Xenopus tropicalis: one gene and its partners. The protein of the gene in region 2 interacts with the protein of the main gene of each other region in a pairwise test. Links are inferred from orthologs where the notes say so. Each region holds a gene or a part of one and is shown on either strand. Other genes may lie near its edges.

The links. The genes of interacting proteins can lie anywhere in the genome.
Region 1: the proteins of ccnc (region 2) and ndufv2 interact in binary tests that used the Homo sapiens proteins (3 or more experiments, as listed by UniProt). The link is inferred for Xenopus tropicalis from reciprocal best matches to the Homo sapiens genes CCNC and NDUFV2.
Region 3: the proteins of ccnc (region 2) and E3 ubiquitin-protein ligase TRIM39 interact in binary tests that used the Homo sapiens proteins (3 or more experiments, as listed by UniProt). The two-hybrid records come from large-scale screens. The link is inferred for Xenopus tropicalis from reciprocal best matches to the Homo sapiens genes CCNC and TRIM39.

The regions. Positions count from the first base shown.
Region 1 is NC_030682.2:104,466,768-104,471,033, forward strand, and holds part of ndufv2 (NADH dehydrogenase [ubiquinone] flavoprotein 2, mitochondrial), read left to right. Parts: intron 1-770; coding exon 771-833; intron 834-2,602; coding exon 2,603-2,719; intron 2,720-3,374; coding exon 3,375-3,543; intron 3,544-4,266.
Region 2 is NC_030681.2:82,030,193-82,035,059, forward strand, and holds the start of ccnc (cyclin-C), read left to right. Parts: upstream 1-1,515; 5' UTR 1,516-1,650; coding exon 1,651-1,682; intron 1,683-3,137; coding exon 3,138-3,244; intron 3,245-3,445; coding exon 3,446-3,530; intron 3,531-4,298; coding exon 4,299-4,368; intron 4,369-4,805; coding exon 4,806-4,857; intron 4,858-4,867. UniProt on the Homo sapiens protein: Component of the Mediator complex, a coactivator involved in regulated gene transcription of nearly all RNA polymerase II-dependent genes.
Region 3 is NC_030678.2:143,279,344-143,283,609, reverse strand, and holds part of E3 ubiquitin-protein ligase TRIM39, read right to left. Parts: intron 985-4,266; coding exon 757-984; intron 648-756; coding exon 625-647; intron 1-624.

The DNA of each region.
Region 1 (4,266 bases), on a different chromosome or scaffold from region 2:
AATAAACTGACAACATGCAACAGTGCAAGAATATCCTCTAGTGGCCAAGAAGAAAAACCACCATTAAATATATAATCCTGCACAAATGCTCAGGTTAAAAGAAAAATGTATTTATCACAATCCATTAAAAGCTACTTGCACCCCATATATAAAGCTTTTTAATGGTTTTTAAACAATGGGCCTGATTTAATTCAGTGAGAAAAAATTGTCTCGTGGTTTATCATGTGAAAACTTAGACTATTCTATTTGAGGAGAAAAAAACGTTTTACCTTATTCAGTTCGTTTTTTTTCTCATAGACTTCAATAGAGTTGTCACGTGATAAACCATGAGATAAGTTTTTCTAAATTGAGTTGCATCCCAAATTGAATCTCATCCATACGTTTTCACATGATAAACCTTTTATTTGCTGATTCAATCTGGCCCAGTGTTGCAACGGTCAGTCTCCTCCATCAAGAAGGGTCGGTTAGTCTGCTGGCTTGTGTTACATTGCTTTAAAAGCCAGAGCCACCAGGGCAGAGAATAGAAAAGGACAGACAAACACTGCTTTTAATAGCAATTATATGTACAAATAACTTAAATACCATTGCGAAGTTGTAATGAATGTATATTGCAGTTATACAGTTATTGCAGTTGCTTAGAATTCTTATGTTTTCTCTTTTTAGGCAATTTTTTGGTTGACATGCTTTACCAAAATATTTGGGAATATAAATATGCATTTGCTCGTTGGTATAATTTGTACATATGCTATTATATATTCTATTTTATTTAGCACAGAGATACACCTGAAAACAATCCGGACACCCCATTTGAATTCACTTCAGAAAATTACAAGGTACAGTCTAAGCTCTATAACTTATCCTGGCAAAAAGACGGGCATTCACAATACTTTAATATAATTTAGTCCTTACCAATTGTTATGATTATTTTTCTATATGCAGGGTCACAAAATCAATGATTTAACCCTGTTTTGTTAGATTAAAGGGAATTCCAGCTTGGCCAGTGATCCTTAATGTTGCATGTGAGGGATTCTTAGCTAGGATGGCAGTGCAAACCCCACACACACAAATTTATCAGTGAACAGCCTCTTTGAAACCTTTTAATACATGCCACTCTGGTTGTCCAGAGGTTAATAGTAAGGCTGCAACATCTCCTTAATCACTTAAGATTTCCTTCTCTTCCTGTAACTCCATAGAAACTCAGCTCTAGCTGCCTGCTTCAATTTTTTTTCTCCTGAGCTTAGCTTTACCATAACACTGCTCAAACAAAGCAGAACTTTAATCAGAGACAGTTGTGCCTGTGTGAGCCTGTATTCTTGATTAAATGTATGCTGAATAAGGGTCTGTGTGTGTGTATATGCTGTTTGCAGATTTAAATGTATCTGATTATGTATCAGAGGAAAAATGGCCACCGGGTGAAAGCTGCTATTTGTTTTAGGAAAATGTGATGGTGCTGGCAAGCGGAGGGGATATATGCAGTACAAATGATGCCACTTGGGTGGGGGAGACGTGCCCAACTAATATACATTGTATGCAAATGTAGGCTTTACATGTCCATGGAGTTTATTGATAGACTGTGTGTTCACAGGCCCTGAGCCTTCAGCTAGAGGAGCAGAGTTAAGGTGGCCATACACGGGTCGATTGTAACTGCCGATATCTGTCCCTTGGACCAATTGGGCAGCTTATCAGCCCGTGTAGGGGCAGAAATGAGGGGCATGCCTGACCGATATCTGGGCTGAAATTGGCCAGATATCGATCGGGCAGGTTAAAAGATTTAGTCGGATCAGGGACCACATCGGCTCATTGATGCGGTCCCCAAACCGACTGCACCCATTGCTCCCATTATAATTCAATCGTTTGACCCCAGGGCCAAACGATCGAATTAGCCTACATTCTCCCGATATCGCCCACCCATAGGTGGGGATATCGGGAGAAGATCGGCTCGTTTGGACCTCGACAAGCAAGCGCATCTTAAGTATGGCACCCTTTAACTGTATGCAGTCTGTCATGGCAGCAAGTAAAATCAAAAAGAGGTTTAGCCTATGACTAAGGGGCTGATTTACTAATCTACGAATCCGAATCCCGAATGGGAAAAAATCGGATTGGAAACGAACATTTTGCGACTTTTTCGTATTTTTGCGATTTTTTTCGTCACCGTCGCGACTTTTTCGTAGCCATTACAACTTTTGTGAATTGTCGCGACTTTTTCATAGCCATTACGACTTTCGTGAATTGTCGCGACTTTTTCATAGCCATTACGACTTTCGCGAATTGTCGCGACTTTTTCGTATTGAAAAAGTTATGACGGTGACGAAAAAGTTGCAAAATACCGATCATTACAAAAAAAATGCATTCGGACGCTTTTCGGACGTTCGTGGATTAGTAAATGTGCCCCTAAGTGTTGAGATCATGAAACGTGTAAGGCAGTCCCTGTTGCTGGTACCAATAACCTATTTTAATTTTACTTCCTGCCTTCATGGGCTGTTTATTGAGTGCCTGCCTATCTGCATACAGTTGACCCTATTAGTGACCTCAGAGCATCCAACTAAAATGCATTTGCATTTTTATGTCTTTGTATTCATATATTTATATACTTATTTTTAAGAGAATTGAGGCTATAATTGGCAACTATCCTGAAGGTCACAAAGCAGGAGCTGTAATCCCTGTTCTTGACTTGGCACAGAGACAGCATGGATGGCTACCTATATCTGCTATGAATAAGGTAAGCTGATGAGGAAAAAATTAAATAGATCTGAAATAAAGTTCAGCTTACTAAAGGTTAAACTTTACTAAAAGGTTGTCTTTGCACTCATACAGCAAAACAGAAATAAATAGGACAAATACAAGTATAACTAATTTTGTTTTTCCAGTATATTTTATTTAAAACTAGAGATACCAAACTTTTGATGGTGCTGCTGATGTAGACTTGTGTTAGTGATTTAGTATGCTGGGATTTGCTAGATGTTTAATAGTCTTTGTTTTACACATCATTATTTATATACAAGGATATTGTAACAAACAGAAATGTCAGTTTTACAGAATGGAACAGTAGGAACTCTTATGTATTGACACTAGATTGGTCATTCAATAATTACCCAAATTTGACACATCAGTTGCAATACAAATCCAATATACAATATTTTTGAGCTATAGTGCATTACACATTCTGATCGCTTGTCTCACAAGAAAATGTAACGGGTATCCACAACACTGGATTTCTGGTTTTTCATCCAATTGATGGCAATGGCAAACAACATAAGTAGCTGTGTAATATTTATAAACCCTGAAAATGCACTAATGAACGTTTTAGAGTGATTAGCATGAATAGAGCACTGTAAATAAGTAAATACTTGTGCTGTATTATTTTACTTTCTTAGGTTGCTGAAGTTTTAGAGATGCCTGCCATGCGTGTGTATGAGGTGGCTACATTCTACACTATGTTCAACAGAAAACCAGTGGGGAAATATCACGTCCAGATTTGTACGACAACACCTTGCATGCTTTGCAACTCTGATTCAATATTGGAAGCTATTGAAAAGAAGCTAGGTATGATTCTTAGACCATTTTCTCTCCCATACTTTTTTTGCAAAGTAATATTCTGGATAAATCACACAAAGGCGTGTTTGGCTAGAAATGGAATTGCATTGCTAGTTTAAAGGGGTACTAAACCCTCCCCAAACCTCAGCCCACCCTCCAAGCTTCATTCCCACATTTTCCCTATGTGTGAACCTGCCATAATGCGATGGTGCGAGCGGGTGGTGGCGGTGGTGTTTGATCGACACGGGGGGTGGGGGGTGGTTTGCGAGCGGAGGAATGCTGGAATCCAAGATGGCGGCTGTGACAGGCTGCAAATACACCAAAATTAAAAACCAATTTTTGTGAGCTCTACACTATATTAAGGGCTACTATAGTAGCCTTTCCTTGCTCTTTAAGTAGAAGAAGATAGAACTTATGAACTCTGCTGCACAATTCCGCAAATTTATGCTAGATTCACTCATAGTCACATGTAATAGACGTCGTGAAGTAGGAGCTTGGGGCGATAGGTGGAGGGGTGCTGAGGTTTGAAAGGAATTAAATCCTTCTCCTGCCCTTTTACAACATCACTTCCACAATTATAATTTGTGTTAGGTGTGTGTGTGTTTTTTTTTTTTTTGTATTTTATTTTAAGTAATAAAAATGTTACTAATAATGTTATAGAATAAAATGTTAGGAGCCATATATGGGAGCAGGGAGTTAAATTGTGTATCACTAACCTTGAAGTTTGATTTA
Region 2 (4,867 bases):
ATAATTAGAGGCACTACTATAGAGAAGCATACAATTCCTCTTAGAGCATAGATTTTATGGGTCTTGGGGCATAAATACTATGTATTAGGTCTCTGCAGGATTGCAAATGTGCCATAGGTATGTTCAAAAGTATGTTCCAGCTGAGGACAAGGGCCAGAGGGAAAAGAGGCAGATGGAGAGGAGGTTCCTTCTATATACTGGTCCCAGTCCCTCAGCATTCATTGAGGTTAACCAAGCAATTCTGTTTTCACTTGTTTAACCCATACACAAATGTCATGTTGGGATCCAGGTAAAAGGCAGGTTTATTACAAAAAACGAATAACTGTGTAAAATGATATACAAGTTATATTTTTATGTGGGTATTTGTCTTATGAAAACACAAGTAAAGCAATGCATTCAACTGAATGCAAAACAGTTTGAATAAAATGTTCAGTTTACTTGTGTTTATTGAAGTAATCCCAGTGAAAAATCAGATAACTATATATCTGCTGTCTAATCTCGTTATACATATTCTGCTTCTGCTATATTTCTGCATGTCCCATGCTACGTACAAATCCTTTTCTCTTTTTTTCCCATTTATTCTTTTACAATTTTCTAAGGGACCAGTCTGCTCTACAATTGGTAGTCCAATTGGTAGTCCGGAAAAACGCTTGCTGAAAATACCGCATAAAAACGCAAGACTTTGCATTCTCTCAAGTTTTTATGTGTATTTCGGCTACATGTGCCTGAACCCAAGCATATTCCATTCATTCGGGTGCAGGCACAAGTAGGAGGCGTAGGGCGGTATTTTCAGGATGCATTTTTCTGCTTGCCGAAAATATACGCCCTATGCCTTGTCTGGCATTAGCCTAAGGCTGATGTCAGACGTGGCATATTCTCGGCAAGTCGAAAAACGCTTGCCGAGAATACGCCCTCTGCCTACTACCAGCTACGCTCTGGTGCAGGCACAGGTAGGAGGTGGAGGGCGTATTCTAGGCAAGCGTTTTCCGGCTTGCTGAGAATACACCACATCTGACATCAGCCTAATAATGCAAAAGGTGGCAACACATAGGCCAACCTGCCATTTATCCGATTATGGCCTACACCTGGCCAAATAACCCTGTTGCATTCCTTTGGGCCCACTAACTGATGGGAATTTCTGCTATTAGTATTTTTATGTTGGACAGATGGAGTGCAAATTTTTTGCAGAATAATCAACCTGTGTGTCATAGTCATGCATTATTTTCCAAATTGGCTAATTCTTTCCACTTTAATATAAGTCAATATAAAAAGAAGAAAAGACATGGTGAACACAGTCTTTATAAAAGTTGAGAAATGTTTTTTTACAGAAAACATAAGCAGTGAGAATTTGTGCGTTCCTTGTGAAGACACAAAAATGTAAAACTATAACCAAAAAACAGATTTGAAATCATTGAAATGTATACGTATGTTTGTTAACGCATACTTCTTTTATTCACAACTAGAGGCAGACTGAGTTCCGTGCTGGTGTGTGTTTCCACCCGGGACATATCAGCGTTGCACACTGGGTCTTCTTCCTGGAATCTCTACATTTCGGCTTTATAGACGCTAGCTGTGGGTTGTTGTGACGTTCTTGGCAGCGTCACAAGCAGCGGTCCGCTCATCCTTAGGCGGTGTTCGTTTGGCTCATTGATGGCGGGGAACTTTTGGCAGAGCTCTCACTAGTAAGCGTTGTTTTATTTGTTTTGTCTATAGGTAGTAGGCTGAGCTGTCGCCATCTTTAAAATTCCCTAGCACTTCACTATGAGCGGAAAAGATTCTAACCTGCTGCCTTGCCGTTCTCAGTATACCAGTGTTTTGAGACTTGCAAATTGTGAATTTCTTTGCCTGTAGTGAAGTACAGGCCTTTTTGTATTTGCTGTAGCCCTATAATAACCCTTTTAATAAAGTGCAAGTTGTTGTGTTAGCAATATACAGTCTGAAATGCAGAATAACTCATTGCAAATGAGGTCCAGGTCCAGCATTTGATCAGTTCCATGGCTTTGCTTATAAGCACAAAACAAAGCCCTCCATCTGTTGCACTGTTGCACATCCACTGATAACTATCAGGAGAATGCTGGGAGCTGAAGTTCCACTAAATGCCTGGGGACCTCAGGTAGGTCATTTTTGCCATTAAGACATCAAAATGGTTATTACAAGGTCACTGAAATATTAAAGGAGACATTCGTATTTTACATCAGTAAGTACATTTAAAGGGGTTGGTCACCTTTGAGTTAGCTTTTAATATGATTTAGAGAGTGATATTTGGAGACAGTTTGCAATTGGTCTTCATTTATTGTAGCTTTTTTTAGTTATTTCATTTTCATTTCAGGAGCTCTCCAGTATGGAGTTTCAGCAGCTATTTGGTTGCTAGTTACCTTAGTAACCAGGGAGCTGTTTGGATGAGAGACTGTTAAATGAATAGGAGAGGGCACAAATTGAAAAAAAAAAAAGCTACAAAAACTAACAACTATAAAACTGCCTCACAGAGCATTAGTTTTTGTGTTGCTGGGGTCTGCAAAGAGTTGGAAGAAGAAAGAGTTAGTTAGAATTGGTCATTCCGTAACATACTAAAAGTTAACTTAAAGGTGAACCACCCCTTTAAGAAGGGGTTGGATGACTTTTTACGATCCGAGCCCAGCCCTTAAGGTGGCGATTTGCGATCTTTCATGCAACCATCGGTCGCACACCGTTCAGGGCTGAAACGGCAGATAAGGAGGTAGAAACAATAGGATTTCTACCTCCTTCTGCCGATTCAGCGCTGAAGGCAGATTTTGGTCAGGCGCCTTCTATCGCGCCCGATCAAAATCTTTTAACTTGCCCGGTCGGCGAGTCGACCGATATCGGCAACCTCCTGCGATATCGGTCGACTCGCCGATTTGCCATACACACACCGAATATCGTACGAAACGAGGTTTCGTACGATATTATCGGTGCGTGTATGGCCAGCTTTAGACTTGGCCAATACATGAAACTACGGTTGGCTGAAACATGGAGATTGTGCGCAAAATTGCACTTGGCCCACTTCATCTAGGTAAGTGAATGTGCTCTATGGACTAATAAGAATTTGACAAAATAGCAGTGCAAAAGAATTGAAATGATATATTTTTCTAATTTTTTTTTTTTTTAATTTATTTTAGTTTGCAATGGATTTTGGACAAACAAGACTTATTAAAAGAACGACAAAAAGACCTAAAATTTTTAAGTGAAGAAGAATATTGGAAATTGCAGATATTTTTTACAAATGGTAATCGCATGTTTCTTTTAGAAACCTGGTATTTTATTATAGGTGCAATATTTTTATTGTGCTATGTTACTTCTGAATATAGATTGTTATTGGGATGCAACCCACTCAATAGCCCCCACACTGTTTGTTTCTCTTGCTACATTCGCATGAAACACATACTCATTTACATTAAACATTCATCTTATTTTCTTTCCTTTGCAGTTATCCAAGCTTTAGGAGAACACCTTAAATTACGACAACAAGTCATTGCCACTGCCACTGTTTATTTTAAAAGATTTTATGCCAGGTGAGTTTGCTGAGAGGGAAAGGACTTGTATGTGTTTTTGGTTTTATGGTAATGCCCTATCCAGTGCCAGCAGCACTAAGCAAAATTAGTGGTGTATGAGTGTTAAAATGTCACAATCCAGCTGTGGCTTACCACTACACCGTAGTGTCTTTCTGTGATAGTTAAGCCCAGACTTTCCTCAGGCAGTGCATATTATTTGAGTGTAATCATAGACTGGAAAAGTACAGGCTAATGACTGAACATTTAGTAAACATATACTTCGTCTAGGTAGGTGAATGTGCCCTATTAAAGGTGGCGACACACGTGGCGATCTGACGATGTTTAGTGCGACCATCGGACCACACCGTTGGGGCTGAAACAGCAGATAAGGAGGTAGAAACAATAGGATTTCTACCTCCTTCTGCTGATTCAGCCCTGACGGCAGATTTTGGTCAGGCGCCTTCTATGGCGCCCGATCAAAATCTTTTAACTGGTCCGATCGGCGAGTCGACAGATATCAGCAGCTTCCTGCGATATCTGTCGACTCACCGACATGCCATACACGCACTGAATATCGTACGAAACGAGGTTAAGACTAAGATTTTGACAAAATTTTTCTTATATTTTAGATCACGTTGTTGCTATAAAGCTGTGCTGTATCTTGTATGTATTGTTTTACATTTAATGTTTACAGATCCAACTTTTCAATTTAAATGGAATTGTTACTCTATGGTATGGCCTTTATGCACTTATGTTTTGTTGATATAATTTTTTTGTTTTTCATATTAGGTATTCTTTAAAAAGTATAGATCCTGTATTAATGGCACCAACATGTGTGTTTTTGGCATCCAAAGTAGAGGTAAGACACAAATTACACACACACACACTCATTCACTCTCACTGGGGTTTTCAGAGAACTGAATTCAAATACCTTTTCTGTTCTGCTAGACTACAGAAATGTAATAGTAAAAGACAAAAACTGCTTTCAGTTGTAATTATTTTACAAATAAAATATCCAATTAATTTCTATTGGTTTTTGTTTCTTAAGAAAAACTATTTCTAATACAGGTTCAGGATCTATTATCTGGAATGCTTGGGACCTGGGGTTTTCCAGATAAGGGATCTTTAAATAATTCGAATTGCCATTTTGTCTCAATCAAATGTTGATTGACCGGACCAAAGTTTTTGTTTGGGGCACGACACAATAATAATGATTTCTTATTTAGAAATAGAGTACATTCATAAAAAGTTAATGGATCTGTCATCAGCTCAAACAAACCTGTGTTTGTGTTTCAGGAATTTGGTGTTGTTTCAAACACAAGATTAATCTCTGCTGCTACCTCTGTGTGTGAGTATTT
Region 3 (4,266 bases), on a different chromosome or scaffold from region 2:
TATAAATATGCTGCTGTGTAGCCATGGGGGCAGCCATTCAAAGGCGAAAAGGCACAGGTTGCTTAGCAGATAACAGATAAACCTCCATTATATGGGGCTTATCTACTAGTTATCTGCTATGTAACCTGTGCCTTTTCTCCTTTTTTTCCAGCTTGAATGGCTGTCCCCATGGCTACCCAGCAGCTTATTTATTTAGTAGCTTTTCTGTAGCAAAAACATCAGTTTTTTGCAGAGCAACAGCACATTATATTTTAATTACTTTAAAACACTTTAATTTTTTGATGTTACTGTTCCTTTAAGATGTCAGTTTTAGTCCTTTCAGGCTGGAATACAAATACTCTGTACAAACATACTCAGGGGGTAAATCACATAGTCCCCACAATTCCCTCTCCAGTACCAGACAGAGGCTGTTAAGCTGCTTTCCATTAGCAAGGACTTGTCATCTTGTTAAAGAAAATGGGTAAATGCTAATGGGTTTGGTTTCTGGCAAAACATTCATTATGATATTGTATATTTATATTTAGAAAGCAACTTAAATGCACCTTTGTCTACTTATCAAACACTAAAATGCTCACACACAACTAAAACAATTGACTTACAAAGCAGTTAAAAACAAATATTTACCTGCCCACCGCAGATTTCGGTTCCTTTAGAAGTCAGACAGAGAACAATATGTAAAAAACAAATATAAGTTAAAAAGGAATATTGGCATAGGATGTAAATTAAATGGATGACACAGTGATCATAAAGTCTAACCTGATATGTTTGAGCCGAGGGGAGAATATTTTGCTCGATATCTAAGATGAGTGCGTGCAGAGATGACAGTTTTTCATTCAGCTTACTGGTCCTTTCATTTGTTCTTTTAATGATCAGTCTCTCCATGTTCTCCAAACGCTCTTTGAATTCTCTTTCATGATCTTCTAAAATCTGACGCAGGATTTCAAATTCAGAGGTGAGCATTCTACGTTTTTGCTCAATTTCATTCTGCAAAAGTTAAAAGCCGTGAGTAACAAATCACTAATTTATGGGTAACAGAGATGACTAGAGAACTTAAACCATGACACCATAACCCATGTACCCCTATCTTCAACAGACTTTTTAAATAAAGACAACGTCAAGTTGGAACAAAACTACCCAGCATTCACCAGTAATGTCATCATGTTAGCGCTTTTTTCCCCAAATCAGTTTCTATTTATAAAAAAATTTAAAAAAAAAATCAAGAGAAGTTTAGTACGCTGTTCAGTTTAAAGGTACTACATAGATCACTATATAGTATAGGTAGTAATATTAATTTGTGGCATAGTGAGACCTGTTCCGCCACCCTTGGTGCTTTATTTCATTGATTATCTGCTTGTTCTCTCTGAGTGACCTTTTTTAAGTTATAATTTACACTTTTTTTTAAAGGTAATTTTTTAATTATTTTAAACAAGATAAAACCAAAACAAAGAAAACAAACAAAGGTTTTCGCAGAATATGAGAATTGGGTACAAGTTGACACAAGGTGTAACAGTGAAAGCCATGGGGGGAGGTTCCCTTGGTTGGACACACCAAGAGAACAGTCATCCTAGATTAGGGTCTAGGGCAGGCATTGCTCCTGGAGGGGGGCCATACAGTTTTATGGCAGCCTCCTGTATAGGTGTGGAGAGGTTTCCCTAATTTAGGTCTCAACAGAGTCTATATCACACCATACAATGTCAAATTTGGCAGGTGATCCTCTGATTTTGTATGTGAGTTTAAAGAGTGGGGTTGCATTATTAACCAGTTGTATGCAGGCTCTGGGGGAAGAAGGGGAGTTACCCATCCAATGCATAGCAACTGTTTTCTTTCGATACAATAGTAAAATGCAAAATCTTAACCTTGCATATTTAGAAGGGATTACATCATTTAGGACACCCAGAAGGCACATGGTTAGGTTATCCACCAGGTAATTAAAGGGGCTTTTCCCAAAACCAAGGGCAAAAGTCCCCATGAGATTGAGGATATGTACATTTTTTTTTATTATACATTTCACCAGATCAGTGTAAACCACTTCTTTTGGCTTTGTTTTGTACTTAGTTAGGCCACTACATATAACTATATCTATATATAGATATAACATGTAACAGTTTATTAAGCACTTCTCAGTCTGTAGAACTGTTGTAACACTGGTGCCCTTAAATGTGCAATTTTATATTTACTGTGATTTTATTATTTCATGTTAGTGCTAAGTTACCAGTATACTGTTAGGCTACGGCCAAAAGAATAAAAAAAGGTCGACAAAAGGGGGGCTTGTGGTAGGAAAGCTCACAGACAAGCTTCATATCACTGCAACTTGTTTGACTGGGTGTTTGGTAGCTGTGCAACAACAGTTGTATCTGCACAACTAGCTGTTCTGCCATAAGACCAGATAAGGTAGAATTCAGGGGAAAATGATTTCTGAAAGTCCAAGTAGAAGGTCAGATAGGGTAAGGGTTTGGAGCAAATACTTATTTAGTAAACTTGGTTTTCTTTAACTATAACTGATTAGCTGATAAAATTGTATGTTTTTATCTGTAACCTTGCCATAATTGCCCATATACAGTTAGGTCCATAAATATTTGGACAGAGACAAATTTTTTCTAATTTTGGTTCTGTACATTACCACAATGAATTGTAAATGAAACAATTGAAATGCAGTTGAAGTGCAGACTTTCAGCTTTAATTCAGTGGGGTGAACAAAACGGTTGCATAAAAATGTGAGTTTATTATAGGAACAGTAACACCAAAAAATAAAAATGTTTTTAAGTAATCATAATACAATGCACTGTTGCCCTGCACTGGTAAAATTTGCACATTTGCTTCAGAAACACTTCTATAGTTTATATAAAAAGCTGCTGTGTAGCCATGGGGGCAGCCATTCAAGCTGGAAAAAGGAAAAAAGGCACAGGTTACATAGCAGATAACAGATAAGTTCTGTACAATACAATGGTGTTTTATCTGTTATCTGCTATGTCACCTGTGCCTTTTCTCTTTTAAATGGCTGCCCCCATGGCTACACAGCAGCTTCATTTACTAAACTATGGTAATGTTTCTAAAGCAAATACACCTGTTTCACCAGTGCAGGGCAACAGTACATTATACTGTAGTTCCTTTTATACACTTTGATTTTTTGGTGTTACTGTTCCTTTAATGCTCTGCCAGGCTGTTACTGCAGTGGCTTTCAGTTGCCGTTTGTTTGTGGGCCTTTCTTTCTGAAGTTTAGTCTTCAACAAGTGAAATGCATGCTCAATTGGGTTAAGATCAGGTGACTGACTTGGCCATTCAAGAATTTTCCACTTCTTTGCTTTAATAAACTCCTGGGTTGCTTTGACTGTGTGTTTTGGGTCATTGTACATCTGTCCATTTGTATCAATTTGACTGCATTTAGCTGGATTTGAGCAGACAGTATGTCTCTGAACACCTCAGAATTCATTCGGCTGCTTCTGTCCCGTGTCACATCATCAATAAACACTAATGTCCCAATGCCACTGGCAGCCATGCACGCCCAAGGCATCACACTGCCTCCACCATGTTTTACAGATGATGTGGTATGCTTTGGCTAAGGAGCCGTTCCACACCTTCTCCATACTTTTTTCTTGCCATCATTCTGGTATAGGTTGATCTTGGTTTCATCTGTCCAAGGAATGGTTTTCCAGAACTGTGCTGGCTTTCTTAGATGTTCTTTAGCAAAGTCCAATCTAGCCTTTCTATTCTTGAAGCTTATGAGAGGCTTGCACCTTGCAGTGCACCCTCTGTATTTACTTTCATGCAGTCTTCTCTTTATGGTAGACTTGGATATCCATATGCCTAGCCCCTGGAGAGTGTTGTTCACTGGGCTGGCTGTATTGAAGGGGTTTCTCTTCACCATGGAAATGATTCTACGATCATCCACCACTGTTGTCTTCCGTGGATATCCAGGTCTTTTTGCGTTCACCGGTTTCTCAGGATGTACCAAACTGTATATTTTGCCACTCCTAATATTGTAGCAATTTCTCTGGTGGGTTTTTTCTGTTTTCACAGCTTAAGGATGGCTTCTTTCACCTGCATGCAGAGCTCCTTCCACATGCAAGCACCACACCTCAAATCAACTCCAGGCCTTTTATCTGCTTAATTGATAATGACATAACAACGGACTTGCCAACACCTGCCCATGAAATAGCCTTTGGGTCAATTGTCCAATTAATTTTGAGCCCTTGAAATTAAGGGATCGTGTTAAAATCCCCACTGTTTACCCCACCGAATTAAAGATGAAAGTCTGCACTTCAACTG